3 linked regions of the Tribolium castaneum genome follow. The protein of the gene in region 1 purifies or fractionates together with the protein of each later gene. This does not show direct contact. Links are inferred from orthologs where the notes say so. Each region holds a gene or a part of one and is shown in the gene's direction. Other genes may lie near its edges.

Evidence for each region.
Region 2: the proteins of Rint1 (region 1) and Sec20 purify together in Homo sapiens (co-immunoprecipitation; 3 studies listed by BioGRID and IntAct, counting the BioPlex papers as one, with this or other methods). This does not show direct contact. The link is inferred for Tribolium castaneum from reciprocal best matches to the Homo sapiens genes RINT1 and BNIP1.
Region 3: the proteins of Rint1 (region 1) and Use1 purify together in Homo sapiens (co-immunoprecipitation; 3 studies listed by BioGRID and IntAct, counting the BioPlex papers as one, with this or other methods). This does not show direct contact. The link is inferred for Tribolium castaneum from reciprocal best matches to the Homo sapiens genes RINT1 and USE1.

Annotation. Positions count from the first base shown.
Region 1 is NC_087399.1:3,668,378-3,672,141, forward strand, and holds Rint1 (RAD50-interacting protein 1), read left to right. Parts: upstream 1-916; coding exon 917-1,051; intron 1,052-1,101; coding exon 1,102-1,337; intron 1,338-1,382; coding exon 1,383-1,556; intron 1,557-1,601; coding exon 1,602-1,995; intron 1,996-2,060; coding exon 2,061-2,286; intron 2,287-2,393; coding exon 2,394-2,728; intron 2,729-2,820; coding exon 2,821-3,347; intron 3,348-3,395; coding exon 3,396-3,609; 3' UTR 3,610-3,658; downstream 3,659-3,764. Other genes in the region: alcohol dehydrogenase [acceptor], read right to left, coding at 1-303, 351-507. UniProt on the Homo sapiens protein: Involved in regulation of membrane traffic between the Golgi and the endoplasmic reticulum (ER); the function is proposed to depend on its association in the NRZ complex which is believed to play a role in SNARE assembly at the ER.
Region 2 is NC_087395.1:17,502,703-17,505,333, reverse strand, and holds Sec20 (vesicle transport protein SEC20), read left to right. Parts: upstream 1-1,111; 5' UTR 1,112-1,212; coding exon 1,213-1,293; intron 1,294-1,347; coding exon 1,348-1,520; intron 1,521-1,569; coding exon 1,570-1,990; 3' UTR 1,991-2,016; downstream 2,017-2,631. UniProt on the Homo sapiens protein: As part of a SNARE complex may be involved in endoplasmic reticulum membranes fusion and be required for the maintenance of endoplasmic reticulum organization. Also plays a role in apoptosis.
Region 3 is NC_087396.1:21,173,993-21,176,400, reverse strand, and holds Use1 (vesicle transport protein USE1), read left to right. Parts: upstream 1-992; coding exon 993-1,141; intron 1,142-1,189; coding exon 1,190-1,314; intron 1,315-1,360; coding exon 1,361-1,663; intron 1,664-1,676; exon of another isoform or gene 1,677-1,711; coding exon 1,712-1,749; 3' UTR 1,750-1,750; downstream 1,751-2,408. Other genes in the region: focadhesin, read right to left, coding at 1-70, 116-304, 353-606; Grip75 (gamma-tubulin complex component 4), read right to left, coding at 1,751-2,023, 2,075-2,143, 2,197-2,404.

The DNA of each region.
Region 1 (3,764 bases):
TATACCACTCGGCGAAGTCTTGGGGGTGTCCCCGGACGTAAATCATGTTATTTAACATCGCCGTGCCCCCCAGAATCTTCCCCATGGGCCAATGACTTACTTTTTTGTCAAGCCCCAAACAGGCATGTTTCTGGGGCACCGTTCGGTACTGCCAGTCAAAAACCGAGTCTTGTAGCATGAGACTAACAGTCGGGATTTGCAAAATGCCATTTCCGCTAGCCCCAGCTTCAATTAGCAAAACTTTAACGCTGGGGTTTTCGGCGAGTCTTCGAGCGACGATGCTTCCAGCTGAGCCGCTCCCGACTGTCTCAATTTGAGTAATTTTGTTAAAACTGGGCGTCTATACCAACCTACAATGTAATCGTAGGCCTGGTCCTTGAAATCCAGCTCTCGACAAGCGAAGCACTCAAAGTAGTTGTGAAAGTACACAAATCTAAGGTATAGCCCGAATAGATTAACAGCGAGAACGTAGACACTTATGTAGAACGCAGGGTTGGAGCAACACATTGTGTTTAATTCAATTTTACACGGAAATTTTGAAATAAAAAAAGGCCGAAAATTGTCAAAAGTGAGGTTATGCCAAATAGAAGTGAGGTTACAACTAAACCACCTGTCAAGAAGTTTATTTAAATTTGTCTGGGTTATTTAGTGCTGAAAAACACGCGTAATGTTTGATTTCTACTAATTGATTTGATGCACGTCTGTAAATATAACGTATGTTTTTAATTTAATTATGAGTCTAACTTAATTAATCGTACTTTGCCCACAGGTGTTAGAATCTGATGCAACATTGTGCTAAAATACTTATTAACTTATGGGATTTATTATTTACTGTATTAATTGCTAGATAAACGCACCGATTTTGTCGATTCTGGGCCATTGTCATAACTGAGGTTATGTGCCACATCGCCTTAAAATGACCACATCGGAATCAAAAAAAGAATTAGTTAATGAACTGAATAAGAAGTACGGTAAAGATTTATTAAATTACGAAAAATGTAAGAAGATCTATGAGCAATTGCAACAAAACAAGTCTGAGATTGAAAGACAGGTTTTTAATGCAACTCCCCAAGTTCCCACCCCTTAAAGTGTGATTTTTAGTTAAATTTAAACGATGAGTCATCTTCGATTGGTAAAGTTGTCAAAGAGGCGGAAATTGCGGCACAAAACACTGATCTTTGTTTGGAAAGAACTACCGATGTTATTGACGAAATTAAAGCAAATCTCGTTGAAGTTGAAGATGTGAGGCGAGATGTGCAGAAACGTCTTGATAAATTAAATGCCTTACAAACAACCTTCCAGTACTTTAAAGTCATACAGAGAATTGAGTTTTTGAGGTTGGTCACACTGTAGTTTTTCCCCTCGCAATAATCGAATTTTAGCGACGAATTAGAACGCGAATTTAAGAAAAAAGACGATGAGCAGTGCGTCACAATTTTTGCGAATTTGTGCGAAATCAGCCGTAATTTAACTGATTTTCAAGGTAGCAATTTGAGGAATTATCTCAAGGACACTCTACACTATTGGCACAACGTACTAAAGGAAAAACTAGCAAAGTAACTGGTCTGATTTATCATTCGAGTCTTTATCTAACATTTTAGAGATTTCGATGACGTAATGAAATCACTCAAATGGCCATTCGTTAGTGCAAACTTCAGTCTACAAACGCCCTCTCCTAACAGCATTCTGAAGCTACAAATTGTGGCAGAATATCTGCTCCAAATCGAACTTCCAAGTGAGACAATTGATCCGAGGATAACTTCGGCCCTTTTGAGCGATTTTCCACCCCTTTGTCTCCCAGTTATGCTCCTAGTCCAACCCTTAAAGAAACGGTTTTTGTACCATTTCTACGGCGCCCGTCAGACCAACAGGCCTGATAAGCCCGAATGGTACTTTACCCAGATTTTAACATGGATCAGGGACCATGCCGAATTTTTAGTCAAGTGGATTCAGCCGGTGATTGATAAATTGGGGCTCCACCACATTGACGCCAAAGTAATTTTCTCTATTTAATTGTTTTTTTTATGATTAAGTTCTAATAATAAAATTTTGTTTGACAGTTGGAATTCATCAGAGGCCTTGTACAGTTGGCTGTGGAGAAGCTAAACTCTGATTTGCCTAACTTACAATTTGACGATTTCACTTTTTCGCACTCTATTGACGAAGCTCTTGGCTTTGATAAAGAATTGCGTGAAACCTACAGTTATCCACCGACGCAGCCGAGTATTTTAGCCGTTTTAACTCAAGCTAAAATCATTATTAAGTGGATGGCTATGGAGAAAAAATGTGAGTTGGCGTGAGTTCACAGCCTCCTTAAATTTAAATTTAAAATAAGAAGGAGGTTGTGCGACCAATCGCCTAGGAGATAATTTGTTCTGATAATATTTTGTCAGATGCTATGGAAAAAATGGACGCGATGATGTCCTCAGCCACAGTCGATCCTTTCGAGCCGCTAACTTACGATATTGAAGAGCTGAAAATAACAACATGTGCCGATGCTTTTATAACGCTTCTTCAGACAATCACGGAACGTTACGAGGCATTGCCACAACCCGGCCACCGCTTGCAGTTCTTAGACCTCCAGTTAGAGTTACTGGATGATTTTAGAATAAGATTATTGCAACTGGTTAACGCGGAACATGAAAATATAGTCGAATCGAAGATCCCCACGATTGCTAACACGATCTATTACATCGAGAATGTTTTAGTTGATTGGGGGGCAATGTTGGTACGGCTGGCTCGAACCGTGCGATTTGATTGGCTGAACGCAGACTTTCAGCCAATCAAATGGCACTATCTATACTTATGCAAGTGTTTCAGCACTATTTGAATTTATACTACTACAAAAGCCAGTTGAATGACTACAAAGCACCCACAAGCCCGTCAAGTGATTCGGACGACTTTGACCCCACGGATATTGAGGGTGAAACTGTTTTTGCCGAAACTTTATCACTCTATAGGCACATGAGACGCGACTTGTTATTTAATTTATCAGATTATGTCATGTTGGAAGTCAGGTCACAAGGTAAAGCCTACAGGAGGGAAAGGTGGTCCTCTATGAATGTCGGTAAAGACATCAAAGGCCTGTCTTTAACACCCACAGCCTGCCCTATTTTCGAAATCGTGGCTAAACGACTACACCAACTGCAAAAAACTCTAGCTTCGAAACTTTTTACGATAGTTTGGCGCTCGGTTGCGCAACAATTAGATAATTACCTCTTTGAGGATCTTGTCCTTGATAATAGATTTAACACTGGAGGCGCTTTGCAGTTAAAGTATGACGTAACAAGGAATTTACTGCCGTTATTTTCGCAATATACCGAAAGGCCCGAAACGTATTTCGTCCAGTAAGTTATTTACTCAGTCGGTAAAGTGGAAAATAAGAACTGTTGCAGACTGATTGAAGCTTGCAATCTTTTAAATATAACTAAAGGGTCCGCTTTGCTACTACGAGAGACTCTCTTGGCTCTTGAGGGGGCCACAGGTATTGAGGACTCCCGCGGGAGAGCCCTCAAGGAGGTTGGGGTGGTCAGCTTCACCCCAAAAATGGCCGTTAAGATTCTAAACCAGCGCACCGACATTACTGTTAATAGGATGGACGTTGATTGAAGCATTTATACGTTTTGTTGAGAAATTTTATAATAAATGTTTTCCCCACCATTGCATTTCATTGAATCACCCTGTAAGTGAATCTAGAGTAGAGTATAAAATGTTACTTCTGGGCCAGAATATTTGGCGTCTTAAAAAACAAGTCAGAACCTTAC
Region 2 (2,631 bases), on another chromosome or scaffold:
CACAGTCGAATGATTTTGACTATGGAATAATCAGTTATCAAATGATTTGAACAGCGATTTGAACTATCGAATGAATCATTCATTTATTTTATTCAATGGCATTGCCTCATTTAAGGAAATAAATGGTGGTCTAGTAGTAAATGACCAATCGTTACAATTTGTTTTTAATTTTTGTTTTTTTACCATTTGCGAGGGGTAAACATCTGATCTAAATCTTGTACACCATACATTCCTTATACATCCTTTTACAGTCCTGGAAATCCTTGAAGTTGTACAGCTATCCCTCGAAACACTTTTTTTGTATTCACCTAAATGATCCGCAAAAGTTGCCTTAGCGAGCGAGAAAGACTCAATTTAGGAACTCAAATATCATTCCACAACTTCTTGGGTTTAAGTTCGAAAAGCCCTAATTTTAGGCTCATATGAGTCTCTAAATTTGTCCATTATTGATTTAAGTACTATTTTACGAGTACAGTAAAACTTCTCAACAACGGACACTGATGGGGAACCTTTAATTGTCTATTGTGGAGAGGTGGAAATTTTAATATATTGTTAACTTCTTACAAAAATGTCTGTTGTGAAGAGGTGTCCGTTTTTCGGAGGTGTCCATTAAGGGAGGTTCCACTGTATTTCAATAACTGTTGATATTGAATAAAGATATTTTCAAGCAAAAACCGATCGATTAGGATCTCGAAGGGAAATTCAAAACCAATATTAGTTACATTTTAGGTTTCATCCCCTGATCGCTAGCCACCCCTACTTTAAAATTTAAAAGGAGGGAAAGGCTTAAAGAAACAAAATATTGTTTTTTTTGTTTTGTGTTAAAAGTGATATTTTATTTTTTAAATTTTCAGTCTTTACTCAAAATTCAAAACCAACAAAAAATAATCGCTAACCACGCTCTTTACCAAATTATTTTTTTAAATAAGGTAAAAATAAATGTAAGATACGTATTAATGGTTAGATCTCATTGAAAATATAAATTACATTATCTATCAATTTTTTGAAGTGTATAAATAATTTATAACAACTAATTTTGAGAAAAATGTGACGTTGGCGTTTACATACTTTTCAAAGAGCTAATACTTTAAACTAACGTTTAAATTTTGAATTGGCGCCATTGCTTGGTTCAAAAACGGAAAACCCTGCTCATGAGTAGGTTACTAGATTTACATTCCATTAGCTTAGTCGGGTGCTAACGAGCTTAAAACGATGGATTCATCCGATTACGTGCTAGAAACGTTGAGAAAAGACATAACTGAGCACAATTTACAAATTAGAGCGATAATTCAGGTGCGTATTACCCACAAATAAACCCTGATTTTTGACACGTCCGTGTTGTGGTAGGACATCAACGCATGCGTCGGCCCATTGGCTGAATTGCAAGGTTTGAATAGCGCGGGACGTTCAAAAATTTCCGCCTTGCGGAAATTCATCGACAAATTCGGGGATATAGCCAAAGAGCGCAAAAACCCCACGTTTTTGAAAGACGTAGTTTCGTATCGTGAACAATTAGCGAGGTGATTTGGTGTATTGTGTCGCATTTGTGTGAAGAGATTAATTTTGTAGCACAATGGAGGCGTTCAAAAAGGCCAATATTAGTGCGATGTTGGCCATAGAAAAGGGGGCTCAGGAGGAGTTGTTGAAACCGAAAACTGAGGAAACGGCGCTGCGTCAAAGGCAAAAACGCGATAAGGAAAATTTGGTCAAAATGAGCTCAAATGTAACCGAACAGTTGTTATCAATCAGTCGGCAATTAGCTGATACGACGAAAAGGAGTGCGGATACGCTGGACGCGCTAGTTACTTCCTCCGATAGTGTAATCGGGTCACAGGAAGAACTCAAAATAACCTCAAGTACAATTAGCCAGTCGGGGAAATTGCTGGCGAAGTATGGGCGAAGGGAATTCACCGATAAAATCCTCATGTTCTTTGCGTTTGTCTTCTTTGTGGCGTGTGTTTTTTATATCGTGCAAAAACGATTATTTTAAATAAACTTCAACTACTTTCGTTATAATGAGTTATTTTACGAGTATTGTTTTTATAGACTGAAGGACCTTGGTCCAAGGCATCTGGGAAGCCCCCAGATTACGCTAAATAAATTATTTATTGTATTGTTGTAACCACATTATTATTAAAATACGTTTCGTTATTATTGAGACATTTATAATAATAATAATATTGGGTTTTTAAAAGAACTGATTTTTCCCTCAGTTCGTACTAGCTTTTAATCACAAAGACAAAAAATCACCTACTTTAATTATAAATTCAATTGATCGCATGGTATTTAAATCTCTTAACAAAACTCAATTGATATGATTGTTTAAAACCGACGTATTTTATATATTTTTATGTATTTTCGGTTAAACAAGAATGGGGAATATAATCATAAGCTTCTTTATAATTTATGAAAGTACAGATTTTTCTATTATGATTTCTTGCTTGTTCTATAATACGCTGTTCTTTACATTCAACTGATCTTTTAATACAACGGTTTTGGTCTTCATTAATTATTCTTAAAGCATTGATCAAATTACCTTTTAAACTATCCAATTCAAATATACAGCGAAGATTTTATTTTACCGAACACCCTAATTCTATTAATCCTATGTTCAATTAAAAAAAAATCATA
Region 3 (2,408 bases), on another chromosome or scaffold:
TTCCCCGTTAGGGTCACACAAAACGTACAAAAAAACCGGTTTGTGTAACTCATTGTAATGACAAATCGTTCTGCAAAAAATAATAACTAACTGATCGTTGAAACGTAATTAATACTTCGGGTTTGCCGTTCTGTAACAAAAATTAATCTCCCGAAAAATCGCGCTCCACGAATTTGGCGCCTCTCTCAGCATTACAATAAAGGGGTGTTGGGGCACTTGCAAGTTATACGACGATTTGTACCCACTTTCTTCCAAATCAGTGATTAGCAAATTATTAATTAAAAATGCCACGTTTGGGGCGAACCTGAAATAAACCAGCCATGACAACGCCCCAGTGACACAACCCCCATACTTTGCCGTTGTTATAAGTGTGACAAAGTCAGTAATCACCGATTTGGCCACTTTGGGGTCACTTTTCACAATTTGTAAAATGGCCTCGGCTGCTAAAACACTGCCACTCATACACTTTTCCCGCAAGAGTCTGAACTCGGGCACTTCGAAAATATCACCACTTTGGCGCTTTTTCACAATTTGGGCCAGTTTTGAGACGATTTGAGTGGCCACAGTTGGGTTTTCCGAATCCAATCGGGTGCTCAATTCGTCCATGATTGAACAGTAATCAGGCACAATTACTCGATTTTTGGCCCGTTTTGGCCCACACACGTGTTTTTAAGTCAAAATTCCTTAAATAATTTTGTGGGAAATTTGAGGTTTGGTTTTTGACAATTGACATTTCAATTTTTTAATCGTTAATTATCAATTTTTGTGGCTTCGTTTTGGTAGTGTAGGTCCATGGCCTAAAATAGTGCAAAAACCACGACACAAAACCGCCCAATTTGCATAATTTGGGGCACAGTTCCCCTTACGTAACCTCACTTTTATCTGTCAAAGTTCGATTGAACACGTCGGTATTATTGAAATGAGGTGATTAAGCGAAAGTTCGTGGTCCTTTTCGTAAAACTTAGCACGAGCGGGTTTGTTTGTTGGCCAAAATGGGGCTGTCGCGTCAGGAGGTGAACTTGCGGCGCCTCCTGGCCAAGTGCGAGCTCATGTGCAAGAGCAAGCAAAAAGACGACGACCGCATGCCTAAATACGTCGAAAGTCTTGAAGACATGTACCAAGAAGTGAAAAAAATGTCAGAGTGAGTTGTCCCAAAACCCCCGAATTTTCACTAAACCAGGCGTTTAAGTCCCAACTATGAGTTCCTGCTGACGTACCAGCGCCGTATCGCAGCCATTAAGGCCGACTTGGGGATCACTACAAGTAAATACCCCCCTGAAAACGACACCGAATTGCTCCGGGAGAGCCTCCTAGGTCTGTGGCCCCTTGTAACAGTTCATGGTACTAGTAAAGCTTGCAGGCGTGAGGCACCGCAAAGGCCCCGAAACGAGCGACTTAGACCAAGTTTTGAATTTCCACGAAAACATGCAACAGAAAATCACCGACGATATGCTCATCTTGACCAAAAACTTGAAAGAACAGTCGGAACTAGCCAATAAAATTATCAAAAAAGACACCGAAGTTGTGTCGCGATCGGCGCAACTAACCGACCAAAACTATTCCAAACTGAGCGCGGAATCGAACAAATTGGCCGAGCACTCGAAACGGGCCTGGAAATGCTGGATGTGGATCATGTTACTTGTGGTTGTGGTTGTTTTTATTAGTAAGTCGCCGAATGAAATAACTTTGCCTCCTAATTAATTTATTCCAGATATGGTGTTATTTATGAAAGTGATGAAGAAAAAATAAATTACGTTCTTTGCGTTAGGTTAAACTCGGGTTTGTTTCGAGTGAAAAAGCGATTAAAGTCGAGCTGGTGCAACAACTGGACCAAGTGTTGGCCATCGGCTCGTTCATGTAACTTGTACAGAATAAACAAAAGCGAATCGACGATGGTATCGGTGCGTTTCTGGAACTGTTCAAACTCGGTTACTTCCGGTTCGGTTAACTGCGGTTGCCATGTCGACGCAATGACGCAGAAATTGTCACACAGCTCCAGCAGCTGGATTATCACGTTGTAAACCTTTAACAAACCATTAATTGTTCAATTAAACACTTAATCAACAATTATTACTTCACTCGGGACGTTAAACTGAACGGCGGGAGTTTGGTGTAACCGGTGTTTGTTTTGATAAGTGTGGCTCTGCAAAATTAATTCAGTCTAACCAAAGTAATTTCAAAACCGACTTGACTTACTTTATCAGGGGTCAGGATGAAAGTTTTCGCGAGTAAATTGCTGATGAACTCGTGATGGACTTTGATGATCTCCTCGAATTCGTTGGCGTTTTCGATCGCTTTCAAAAGTAGCGAAAATTGCGCCTCGATCACGTCCACTTGGAGGTAATATTGTAGATTATTGACTAGGAAAATTAAATGCTGGCGTAAAGTCCACACTCGCCGGTCACTAA